3 linked regions of the Caenorhabditis elegans genome follow. The protein of the gene in region 2 interacts with the protein of the main gene of each other region in a pairwise test. Each region holds a gene or a part of one and is shown on either strand. Other genes may lie near its edges.

Region 1 (3,755 bases), on a different chromosome or scaffold from region 2:
GAGGTATTGATCGACTCCAACAAGTCCAGCGATGTTTCCGGATGGAATATCCTCAATTGGCTCGATGAAACGTCCCATCATAAGAATGGTACGCTGAATGGTCTTCTCATAGAGATCTTCCTTCTTTCCTGGAACGTAGTTTGGTCCTTGAATGCGAGCCTTCATTCCAGTGGCGACCTTTCCGGAGAACACACGTCCGAAAGCGTAGAAACGTCCCTTATCGGAAGTTGGCACCATCTTGGAGATGTACATCATGAGTGGTCCATTTGGATCACAGGTCTTGATAGCAACGGCGGCCTCGTCGTCGTGTGGTCCTTCGTAGAGCATCTCCATTCTGTATTTTTGAGCAGTCACTGGGGATGGAAGATGGAAAGCGATCATCTGGAGCATAGTGTCTCCGGCTGGAAGCCACTTGCGCATGAAGACCTTCATGAGTGGTTTTCCTTCCAAATCCTTCTCGTCGTTGGCGAGCTTGATTCCGAGCTTCTCAACAAGAGCAGCGGTCTTGTCCTTCTTGATGTTCATGACGGCGTCGAAGACCATGAAGATTGGGTCAAGAACGAATTGGCAGAATCCACGCTTGCTCTCATCGGTCTGAGTACTGCTCCACTTCTTGGTCTTGAGATCGAAGAAACGATCTCCCCAGAGGTTCTTCATGAGCTTGTCAACCTGTAAAAATATTTTATATAATTTTAACATACAACAATCAATTTACTTGAACTCCGAACTTTCCGGCGTACATCTCAGCGAACTGCTTGAGGGTGAAGGCCCATCCGTGGAGTCCAGATCCGAATCCGACGTTTCCGATAGATGGATCAACCATGATTGGTCCCATCGGTCCATCGTCGTCTCCGTAAGTGGCAATGATGACGTTGATGTTTTCAACGATACGCTAAACGACAAATATATAACAATGTTACAGTTGAAACACAAAGCTTACTTGGAAGGTTTGGAAAAGTTCCTCGGCTCCGAGTTGAAGTTCGAGAAGGGCACGGTCCATCTTGTTCATGAAAAGAACTGGCTTGATACGCTCAGCAATAGCCTGACGCAGCACAGTCTCGGTTTGGACACACACTCCGGAAACACAATCGACGACGACGAGAGCTCCATCAGTAACACGAAGAGCAGCAGTAACTTCAGACGAGAAGTCAACGTGACCGGGTGAATCGATCAAATTGATCAAGAAACCGTTGTATTTCTCTTTCTTTCCATCAACCTCAACCGTCTCGAATTGGTTTTCTCCCTTGACGAACTCCAAATCCTTCTTCTCGAGCTCGAAGAAAAGAGAGATAGCACTAAAACAATATTATATTTAAGCTGAAATCCTAAAAATGAACTTACGTAGATTTGATGGTAATACAACGCTCCTGCTCATCCTTACGAGTGTCAGTGAAACGAGTCTCTCCAGCCTTGGATCCGGCAATAATACCGGCTTTGGAAACGAGTGAATCGGTAAGGGTAGATTTTCCGTGATCGACGTGAGCAATAACAGACATGTTACGAATGTTACGCTTGCGATCCATAAGCGCACGGATCTCATCGACCGTGAAGTTGACCTGAAGAGGAAAAAATAATTATTTCAATCGATAAAAATTATGAAATTTTACCTAACGAAATTTTTTCTGAAAATCCATAATTTAATTCAGATTTTGATAATACTGAATGGTTCTCAGTTGAAATTTAATTTAATTAACATATCCGGGAACGAAATCTCAGTAGGCCCAAAATTTGCTAATTTCATTTAATTATTTTGAAACTTTACGTTTTTGTCCTAAATTTTTTTCGAAAATAATAGACGACAATTCATCAGAACGTACAGTTACAATAATTAGAGGGATAAATACTCACCATTTTTAGTTTTTTGTAGGGTTCTCTTCAGATACAACAACAAAAAAGGACCGCACAGAGGATAGCGGCGTGACAAGAGTAAAGAAATTTGCGTTGTCAACTCCTCCAGCAAGATCTGTTAGATGTGCAGGCAAAGTACGGTAGAGCGCCAATTCAAACACTTGGCGCTCTGCCAACCAATTCATTTTCGCGCCTACTTTTGAATCTTAATGCCATTTTTTCCTTATTTTTCTACAAAAAATTGTCAAATCTGTTTAACTTTTTCTTAATAAAGTCAAAAAAGGGCCATTACATTTATCATAATGTTGTACTTTATAACTGACCGAAGAAAATCACGCTCTATAGACTGAAATTTTCCAAACTTCTTTTTAATATTGTTTTAGTTTAATTTCCAGATGAATTCTGATTCCTGTTCAACAAAAACCGTGTCAGCAGACGATACAGATTCTCCATCTTCTCTAGTTGCCGAACACACCATGTCCGATTCCCAGGTAATGGTTTTAAGACCGAAACTGGATCGAAATACATATTTCAGGAGCAGCTGATATCTAGTGAAAACACGGAAGTCGATAAGCAAGCTGAAGAAGACCGAAAACTTCGTCGTCTTAATCGTCGTAAAGCACTGGCTTTAGAACGAAGTCCTCTTCCTGTTCCGAAGCTTGGGAGAGTCCTATTATCTGCCAATAGTACGATTGACCTGACAAATGAAGATGATGACCCAAGTAACAAATGGTTCAAAAAGACGTTTAATGCTGAAAAAATTCCGAAATTGGCAAAAAGTCCGGAAGAAGCTAAATTATTCGCCGTTCCTCGAAAAATATCGAAGAACGCACCCAAGAGCCGTTAGTTTCGTTCGTAATAATTCTGATTTAACTTACTTTTTCCAGTTCTGACCAGCGAGACTTTAAAAAAGAAGCTTCAAGCTTCGATGTCAGCGAAGCGACGGAAAGGTATCGGCTTCGTGTTAAATTTTTACAATTTTTGAGTTTTCAGAACAAGAGCAACGTCGGAAAATGTATGAAGAGGATAATGAACATCTGAAGGCTGGCAGTGATGAAGAAGAGGAAGAAGATGTCGTTTTTAAAAAAAAGAAGGGAAAGAAACCTGTGAATGAAGAAGAATATAAAAGCGAAGATGATGAAGACTATGAACCTGAAAATAGCGGAGAAGAAGATTCAGATGAGAAGAATAATGGCCGAGCCGACGATGAAATGAGTGTGAACTTGTTGAATGACTCGTTTACTTACGATGTTTTCAATAATGTGAAGAGATCAGGACCTGGATCAACTGTTTCAAATTTCGACTCGTTAGTGTTTCATCTAAATTTATTTTCTGCGGTTTTTGTGTAACATATGTGTCAGATCTTTCAAAGAAATCTCTGATTGATAGAGTTTTTATAAATAAAATTTAGGCGTTCCGAAGCAGATGTTGTTGAAAAAAATGGAGTAGTTCAACTGCCGACAATGACGGAAATTACTGGCGGATCCAACGATATTCTCAATTTGTGCCCTGGAAGTTTTGGAGTTTCACAGTCTGCTGGTTTTCCAGACACTTTGCAAATGTTGATAGAAGAAGACACGACTGAAAGAAAAATGTATGTTTTAGAAAACTTAATCTCATTCCGGAAAATCTGAAATTGGAGCCCTTTTTCTTTTCCTTGAAACTATTCGCATTCTCAAAGAAAAAGTTTATCAAATCATTAAACAAAAGATAATTTGTTGTAAATCTTTTAAATAGAGAACTTGATAATTCTTTCTCATAAATTTAGAGAGGTTTTTTGGATCTCGTTCCTTTATCAAATCTTGATTATCGATAGAGCGCGCTTACAGCTCAACTGTGAAGAAATGAAATTTCGGTTGTTTTTTTTTGACTTTCTAATTTGTGGTTTTTTCTGCAAATCTTAAAAA
Region 2 (3,755 bases):
TCCCCATTTCTTAAAGAAAATTTTATGAATGCTCCACATATCTTATATGCCTCTGTAAACATTTTAAAATTCCGTGTTCACAAGTTTAGAGTACAAGAAAAGTGTCTTCAATAAAAATTGAACTTTTTGTTTCTGCTGTGATATCTTTCACGATAAAATCTTTTGAAAAACCATCGCTTTTATAGTACTAGAGGTGTTAATAATTGACGGTTTCAAGGCTAAGATCACGCGATTCTTTAGTTGAATTTGTTTTTTGATTGTTTGGACTGTGAGATTGTAATTTTTTTAATCTTGTAAGTTTTTGTGCAATGAAAAATGCCTTAACGACTTTCATATAAATTTCTCTTATTCCTCTTGTTTAAAATGTCTACCACAAATTTTTAACAGTTATAACTAAATTGGGCAAAATTTGTTATTTCAACTTTACAAAAAAAATTTAACTTTTTTTGAATACTCTCTGTAGACGCGGTTTTTTTTTCAGAATTATGGTGGCCACCTTTTCAATAAAAAAAAATTATCTGAAAAATGCCATGGTCTCTCTGACCTTCGGCCCACATTGTATCTACGGATTTCATTCAAATATTTGCGGTTTTTTTTGACCGCTTGATCAAACTAATGAACTTTCATCAATGCAAACAAAATTTTTTCGCCAAAAGCAAATGACTAGCCAACTTTTTTTTTCTGTTTATGTTCAAATAGTTCAGTGGTTTCTTGTTAATTAATTATGACACAGTTTTGGTCACAAAATTTGAGCGTTTTTTTCGCTGAAACAATTGCACAAATCTAATACAAAACATTCTGATATCACACGCATCAATTTGGCGAGATTTCAAAAAATCAAACTGAGATGAGACCAGTGAAAACAAAAAATATATATGAGTCATCTAGAAAGTGATCTATACATTTTGTAGATCTTTTTTTAAAAATTGTGATGTTTGAGTACTTACAATGTAGGTCTACCACTTATTTTTTCTAGTTAGCTCACTATTTTATGCTTAGCATAGGTCAAACTACCCTTATAAAAAAAAACAATTATTTAGGTAAAAACGCTTGAAGTTCTTTTTTTCCTTTGTTTTGCACGAGAGGTTTTTTGTAAGTTTCTTATCAATCTCTTTTTTCAGTAAAAAAAGATCAAAACATCAAACCGAGGTCATGTGCACTCTCTTGTAGCTCTCTACTTGTTCCCTCATTATCTTATTCCCCCCGTCTTCTCACTTGTTGGTCCAACTACGCTCAACTTATCGATTCTTTGCAGCGAGCACTGCCACCTCAACACACTTTTAGCAATGAAATAGTGTGCTGGGCGAAGAGACGCAGACACACGTACGTAGTTTAAGAGTGAGCGAGATAGAGTGTGCGTAACGAGAAAAAGAGATAGAAGACGAAGAAACAAGTAGTGGTTTGGTTTCGATCTTTTTTTTTTAATTTGGGATATTTTTATTTTTATTTTCGAATTGTCAATTATTATTATTAATAGACTGTCAAAAATTACTTTTAATACCCCGTATTTGAACACGTTCTTTTTTTTATTTCTCTTAAATTGATTCCAAACAAGTTCCTATTAACACAATTCTTTTCAATTTTCTTTTCGAAATCATAATATTTTTTAAAAGTTAAATCTGTGGTTTTTTGGTTTTCCTTTCTGAATATGTTTTTACTGAAAACACCAAAAAATCTTGACAGTAGCTCAAAATATCAAGCTTTACAATTAAAGTTTTTCTCAACTTTTTTTTTCCCCTATAAACACAATCTCCCTTTATTCCCAAAAATACCACGAAACATGATATTTCAAAAAAAAAAGACAAACAGGTTTATACCACAGTTTGTACCTTTTATTGTCCATGCTGGTATTGTATTTCCTACTTCTTTGCCGCCCGGTTTTTCCTTGTTGTTTTAATTTTATTCCAAAACTCAATTTTACAGGTAATCAAATTGTAAAGGAAAAATATTAATAGTCAGAGTACACATAAATGGGTGATCATCATAATTTAACGGGTGAGTTTTTGTTTTATTGAAATTACTTTATTTTCGGAATGTTATTTAAAAAAAAGTTACAGTTTGAATAAAAAAACAGGATCTTCTGTTTCAGTTTTGAAAAAAAAACCAATTCCATAGTCCATATCCCAACTTACAGGCCTTCCCGGTACCTCCATCCCGCCACAGTTCAACTATTCTCAGCCCGGTACCAGCACCGGAGGGCCGCTTTATGGTGGAAAACCTTCTCATGGATTGGAAGATATTCCTGATGTAGAGGAATATGAGAGGAACCTGCTCGGGGCTGGAGCAGGTTTTAATCTGCTCAATGTAGGAAATATGGCTAATGGTGAGTTTAAATAGTAGCTATAGGAGTGAAGTGTTTGGAGTGTCGTGTTGGATATAAAATATCAATTAAAATAGATTCGAATTATTCAGAAAATCGCTTATTTTGGTAGTAGAACAAATGTTGATAAGTTAACAGACATCTTCTTTTTCCAATTAGTCTTGCACCCGAAGTGACTAGTTGGAAAATAGCCTTGCAGTTTCTATTAATTTTGTACATACTAATCTAGTACATTTCTAGAGAAAATTTTAGTATTTTAAGGTGGCAACGAGTAGTGCGGAACTCAAAATTCTCTTACATTCTCTTATATCTACTTACATTGAAAATTAATTTTGCACTCAAAAAATACCAAATAAAAAATAGGGTACTTGTTCCCGCTATTTTTGAAATTAATCAATTTTTCATTAATTTATCTATTTAAATTAAACTTGATATCTATTTTCTTCGTTGGGCTCAGGAATGGTAAATACGAGTTTTATAAGTTTTTATTTTATAAGTTAAAAAATTAATTTCTAAAATAGCGGAAGCATAATACACAAGTACCAAAAATAGTTATACATGCAATTTTGTCCATAGAATACTCTGAAACAACCTTGGTATTAGCTGCAAAACTGCAACATTATCAATTTAAAAAGGTATTTCTAATTGCAAATAAAATCGTAGCATTTCTAACAGTTGCCTAATTCTCGCTTTCTATTTTCAAATTTCAATTTTTTTTAAACTTTCAAGTAATGCAAACTCTGTAAAACACTGAAATCTAGTGAAAACCAAATCAATTTCCCTACGTGATTAGTAGTCGTGGTGTATGGTGGTTTGTGTTGGTTTGATATGCTTATTTTCCTTTTTGTTTTAAAAACCTTCCCCGTTTTGTTGCTTTTTAAATTTTACATTTCAAACTGAAATTCAGAATTTAAACCAATAATCACATTGGACACGAAACCACCTCGTGATGCCAACAAGTCATTGGCATTCAATGGCGGGTTGAAGCTAATCACTCCGAAAACTGAAGGTAAATAACGTCGAACATAGTAGTATAGCTTGAAAATAAAAAAAAACGTTGAATATGATGCATAAATGGTGCAATAGAAGGTTCAAAAGAATTTGTTGCCAACAAAAAATCTAAAATTTCAACACGAACCTCATGATGTTTACCGTCTGGCAGTCACTAACACACGTATTGATAAGCGAATTGTTGCCAAATTTCGTTGCTTATCAAACCTTATTTCTCTCTGACCATGAAGCTAATAGCAACTTCTCTTCTAGTTCCCGACGAGCACACACCGATGATGTCACCAGTGAATACAACTACAAAGATTCTACAACGGAGTGGTATTAAAATGGAAATCCCGCCATATTTGGATCCAGACAGTCAGGATGATGACCCGGAAGATGGTGTCAACTACCCGGATCCAGATTTATGTAAGTGGCAAAAAAA
Region 3 (3,755 bases), on a different chromosome or scaffold from region 2:
TCGATCCAGGAACCTCATGGGACAAGACAACAAACGCAGGTGGTGTTGGACCAGCTTTTCCGACGTGATAGATTCCGCCAAATCCAGCCTTCAACAGTTCTTCCCCACGGATCACTGTTATTTTTGATCCAGTCGCATTTCCAACTTTGACTGCTTCATCAACAAGAGCATCAGTAGTCAGGATATTGGCTGGAGTATCGATGAGTCTTGCGGTTTCACGGACCGATTCTGAGAGATCAGTAAGGAAAACTGCATCCTCGTTGGTGAGCTGCAAAGAAATTGAATGTTTGTTTTTCAATTAAAACAAAACAATTAATTCGGATTTTGAGATTGAGATCTTGAAGGACACATAACTTTCTTATCAACGGAAGTTCATGAAGACCGCCGAATTTTGCAGAAGCTATCAAATGATTCTACTAGTTCCTCTTTTTTAATTTCGTCACACTACGCAATAAACTCTTATCGTATTTCTACATTATCAGCACACAATTCCAGAAAAGAATAGTCTCCAGGCTGACTTTGCAAATAGAAGCAAGCACATGGTGTCTGCTGTCTATCAGTGATGATAAAACTATACAGATCAATATATCAAAATGAAGGATAGTTGTCACATACCTTGTCGCAAACCACATCGATATTCACATTCAGTTCACGAATTCCTGAAGTTTTCATCGAGAACTTGCAGAAGGTCCGAGCAATAGCCGCAACGTGAGAAAGAACATCTGGATATTCAGCAAACAGCACAAAATGAACATTCTTTGTATCCTCAGGATAGTTGATTGGTTTTAACTCCTTATATATCGAATGAGCATTAGTGGGGGTATTTCCACGTGAAGAGGCATCTGGGACAGTGATCAAATGAGCCAGCTCGTAGTGAAGAGGATGACGTCCTGAGGCGGGGATTCGAGAAATCATAGAGTTCCATGAGTCGCCATCTGAAATTATTTTTATATTATGGAAAAGTATGAACCATCTGCAGATGCAAAATGTTGTTCTCTTTACACCAACCATACGGTACCAGGTCTCGACAAGAGACATTTTTGTAAACTACAGGGAGGTGTGGGTCTTTTAGAGTACTGTAATTTCAAAATCTCATTTATTCTGAATGGTTCATGATTTTCCATACATACCTGTGCGGCATTTGGTTTCGGCATTTGAACAAAATGCACTTTTTCATAAATATGAAAATACGTCATACGGCATACGGCATACGGCATTCGCCATACGGCATTTGGGTGCATATCTCGAGCAGGGGTAAACTTTTTTTGAAATTTTTTTGACTGGTGACAAGCCTAAGAGTCAGGCTTCTCATCGTATGCTATTTCATACATATACGTATTTTCATATTTATGAAAAAGTGCATTTTGTTCAAATGCCGAAACCAAATGCCGCACGGGTATGTTTCCATAGTCTCTTCCGCGCTTTGTTAAAATGTATGTGTTTTTATTTAATATATGTTTAATATTTAGTATGTATATAGATATCTCTAGATATATATGAATTTTTTTAAACGAAAGTGACCATGTACCGTAATTTTGGACAAAAATCAAAAAACATCGCGTTTGTGTAATCTACCAAAACCGAACCTGTAACAAACTTTTGTGCGACTTCTTTGAATTTTCCTTCGAAAGTCACATTTTTCAAGACACTCTTCTTTCCAACAATGATTAGGCTAGTCAGGCCATCTCCAACAGCTTGAATCCCGTTACGAACGAGGACTTGTGTCATTTTTAGGTGACACTAATCACTGAAATTAGAAACTTTGAAAACCTTTTGAATTAAAAAAAAACAAAGTTGGAAAGTATAAACTATAGTATTCAGACTAAAAAAGGCAAACTCTTTTTAGAAAAAAGGTGTAAAAATTATTACTCAAATAAACCGTTTATCAGTTCCTCCAGCAGGTAGAGAAAGAGTGACCAGAGAAACATAAATGCGAGAAAAGGATGATAAAAAATGGCGAGAGAAAATGTAGAGCAAAAAAATGAGAAATTGAGAGAAGGAACAAATCTTCAGGGCGCGTGTTTGCATACATTCGTGGTCTAAAATTTGAGAGGTTGTGAAATAATGAGGAGCGAAATTTAAAATTTTAATTAAGTTCAAATCAACTCCTATATTAAAGTTGCCTAGGCATAAATAAATTGATAACCCTCACAATCCCGTAGAGTAAAAAAACATGCTACTTCGAATATCTAATTGATTAGTGAGCTTCTAAAATTAATAAATAACTTTCGGTACAGAAAAATTCTAGCCAACTAATTGCAAAACACAATGAAAATGTTAGAAACTATGATGAAGCATGCAATATAGACTGGAATATGACATGAAAAAGAATTGAACATAATTAAACGGGGGCCAATGTCGCTTTCAACATCCGTACTTCTTCCAAAGAAGTGACACGTGATGGCTGATTGTCCTGTTTTCCCATTGACACCTTATTCAATGGAGCATTTTTCTTGGCAACAGAAGCTGAAGCATGATACCAGTGACATTTAGTCCATTCGACAAGATTCGCGACATTCGAACTGTTCACACCACAACCTGCGAGAACATCGATCTTTCCTTTGTGAAGTTCTTGCATTTCTCGAATGATATAAACTCCGTCGAGTGCTGACGGCTCTTGTCCACTTGTCAAAACAGCTTTGAATCCAACATCAATAGCGTCCTCAAGACAAGTTTTCCAGTCATAGGCGACGTCAATTGCTCGATGAAATGTGACAGGATGTGGACGGGCAGTTTCAATTATTGATTGACATGATGTACGATCCAATGAACCGGCTCTGAAAATTGAAATTTTTTGTGGATCATCCAGAGCAATCAACCGTTATAATTACAAAACTTCTTTCGTAATTTTGCCGCATGTCTATGCATTTTAAATGTTTTTTAAAAACAAGCTTTCCGCATTGTTCAAAAATTAAGTCAGCCTAAAAATAATTATTTAAATGTTATGTAAAATTTTTATTGATAAACTTGATTGAGAATTTATTTGCGGAAAATGGTGAAAAATTCGAAATGAAACAAGAATATGTTTTTCTTTTTTCATTTAAACATGTTGGAAATAAAATTATAATATATTTATTTGTTTCATTCAATTTAAAACTCTCCGACTTACGATGTTAATGCTCCAAAAACGAATCCTGTGGCACCAGCTTTTTTGAGCCATTCAACGTCTTCCATATTCGCTGCCATTTCGTCTTCATTATACACAAAATCGCCTGCCCGTTGGCGAATCATACAATAAAGTGGAATATCGGGATACTTGTAGCTCAGAATAGACACAAATCCGACGGATGGAGTGAGCCCTCCGAGTTGTAAAGCTGAGCAAACTTCCAATCGATCAGCTCCACCGGCAACAGCATTTTCCGCAGATTCCAGATTATCGATGCATATTTCCAGTTTTATTTGCTTCTGGGATTCTGTTTCTGTCATCTTAACACAATAGAGTTTGAGAAAATATGTTTTTAACATTGTAAAGAATAGGTATAAAGTTATGGTTTAAAATCCGAAAACTCAGCAAGAAAACTGAACATATCTGGGATAAATGAAAACTTTTATTCGATTCGAATTATAAACGAGCAAAAAATAAATTATCCATGGCGATGAACTTTTGGTGTTGGAATCACAGGCGACAAGAAATTTACATTATTACATGAACTGAGTAGAATTTCCATTGAAACTGGCTCGCTCTTCAGGATCGTCTTCATTCGGATTTTCAAGCCCTGCGACGTTTCCACGCTGAAAATAATTTCATTATGGAA

What was found.
Region 1: the proteins of daf-3 (region 2) and eef-2 interact in a two-hybrid assay, tested with the Caenorhabditis elegans proteins (one study listed by BioGRID).
Region 3: the proteins of daf-3 (region 2) and lap-1 interact in a two-hybrid assay, tested with the Caenorhabditis elegans proteins (one study listed by BioGRID).

Annotation. Positions count from the first base shown.
Region 1 is NC_003279.8:9,161,750-9,165,504, reverse strand, and holds the start of eef-2 (Elongation factor 2), read right to left. Parts: upstream 1,929-3,755; 5' UTR 1,852-1,928; coding exon 1,849-1,851; intron 1,557-1,848; coding exon 1,342-1,556; intron 1,296-1,341; coding exon 941-1,295; intron 893-940; coding exon 716-892; intron 670-715; coding exon 1-669. Other genes in the region: clsp-1 (Claspin), read left to right, coding at 2,244-2,339, 2,384-2,690, 2,736-2,798, 2,842-3,154, 3,260-3,442. UniProt on the Caenorhabditis elegans protein: Catalyzes the GTP-dependent ribosomal translocation step during translation elongation.
Region 2 is NC_003284.9:823,642-827,396, reverse strand, and holds the start of daf-3 (Smad protein daf-3), read left to right. Parts: upstream 1-1,970; coding exon 1,971-1,995; intron 1,996-2,134; coding exon 2,135-2,323; intron 2,324-3,227; coding exon 3,228-3,329; intron 3,330-3,550; exon of another isoform or gene 3,551-3,555; coding exon of another isoform or gene 3,556-3,583; coding exon 3,584-3,739; intron 3,740-3,755. UniProt on the Caenorhabditis elegans protein: Transcriptional regulator and common SMAD (co-SMAD), required to regulate entry into a developmentally arrested larval state known as dauer, in response to harsh environmental conditions.
Region 3 is NC_003281.10:8,400,182-8,403,936, forward strand, and holds the start of lap-1 (Leucine aminopeptidase 1), read right to left. Parts: upstream 1,748-3,755; 5' UTR 1,729-1,747; coding exon 1,587-1,728; intron 936-1,586; coding exon 616-935; intron 269-615; coding exon 1-268. Other genes in the region: cutc-1 (Copper homeostasis protein cutC homolog), read right to left, coding at 2,342-2,777, 3,110-3,426; ubxn-4 (UBX domain-containing protein 4), read right to left, coding at 3,643-3,732. UniProt on the Caenorhabditis elegans protein: Probably acts as a digestive enzyme.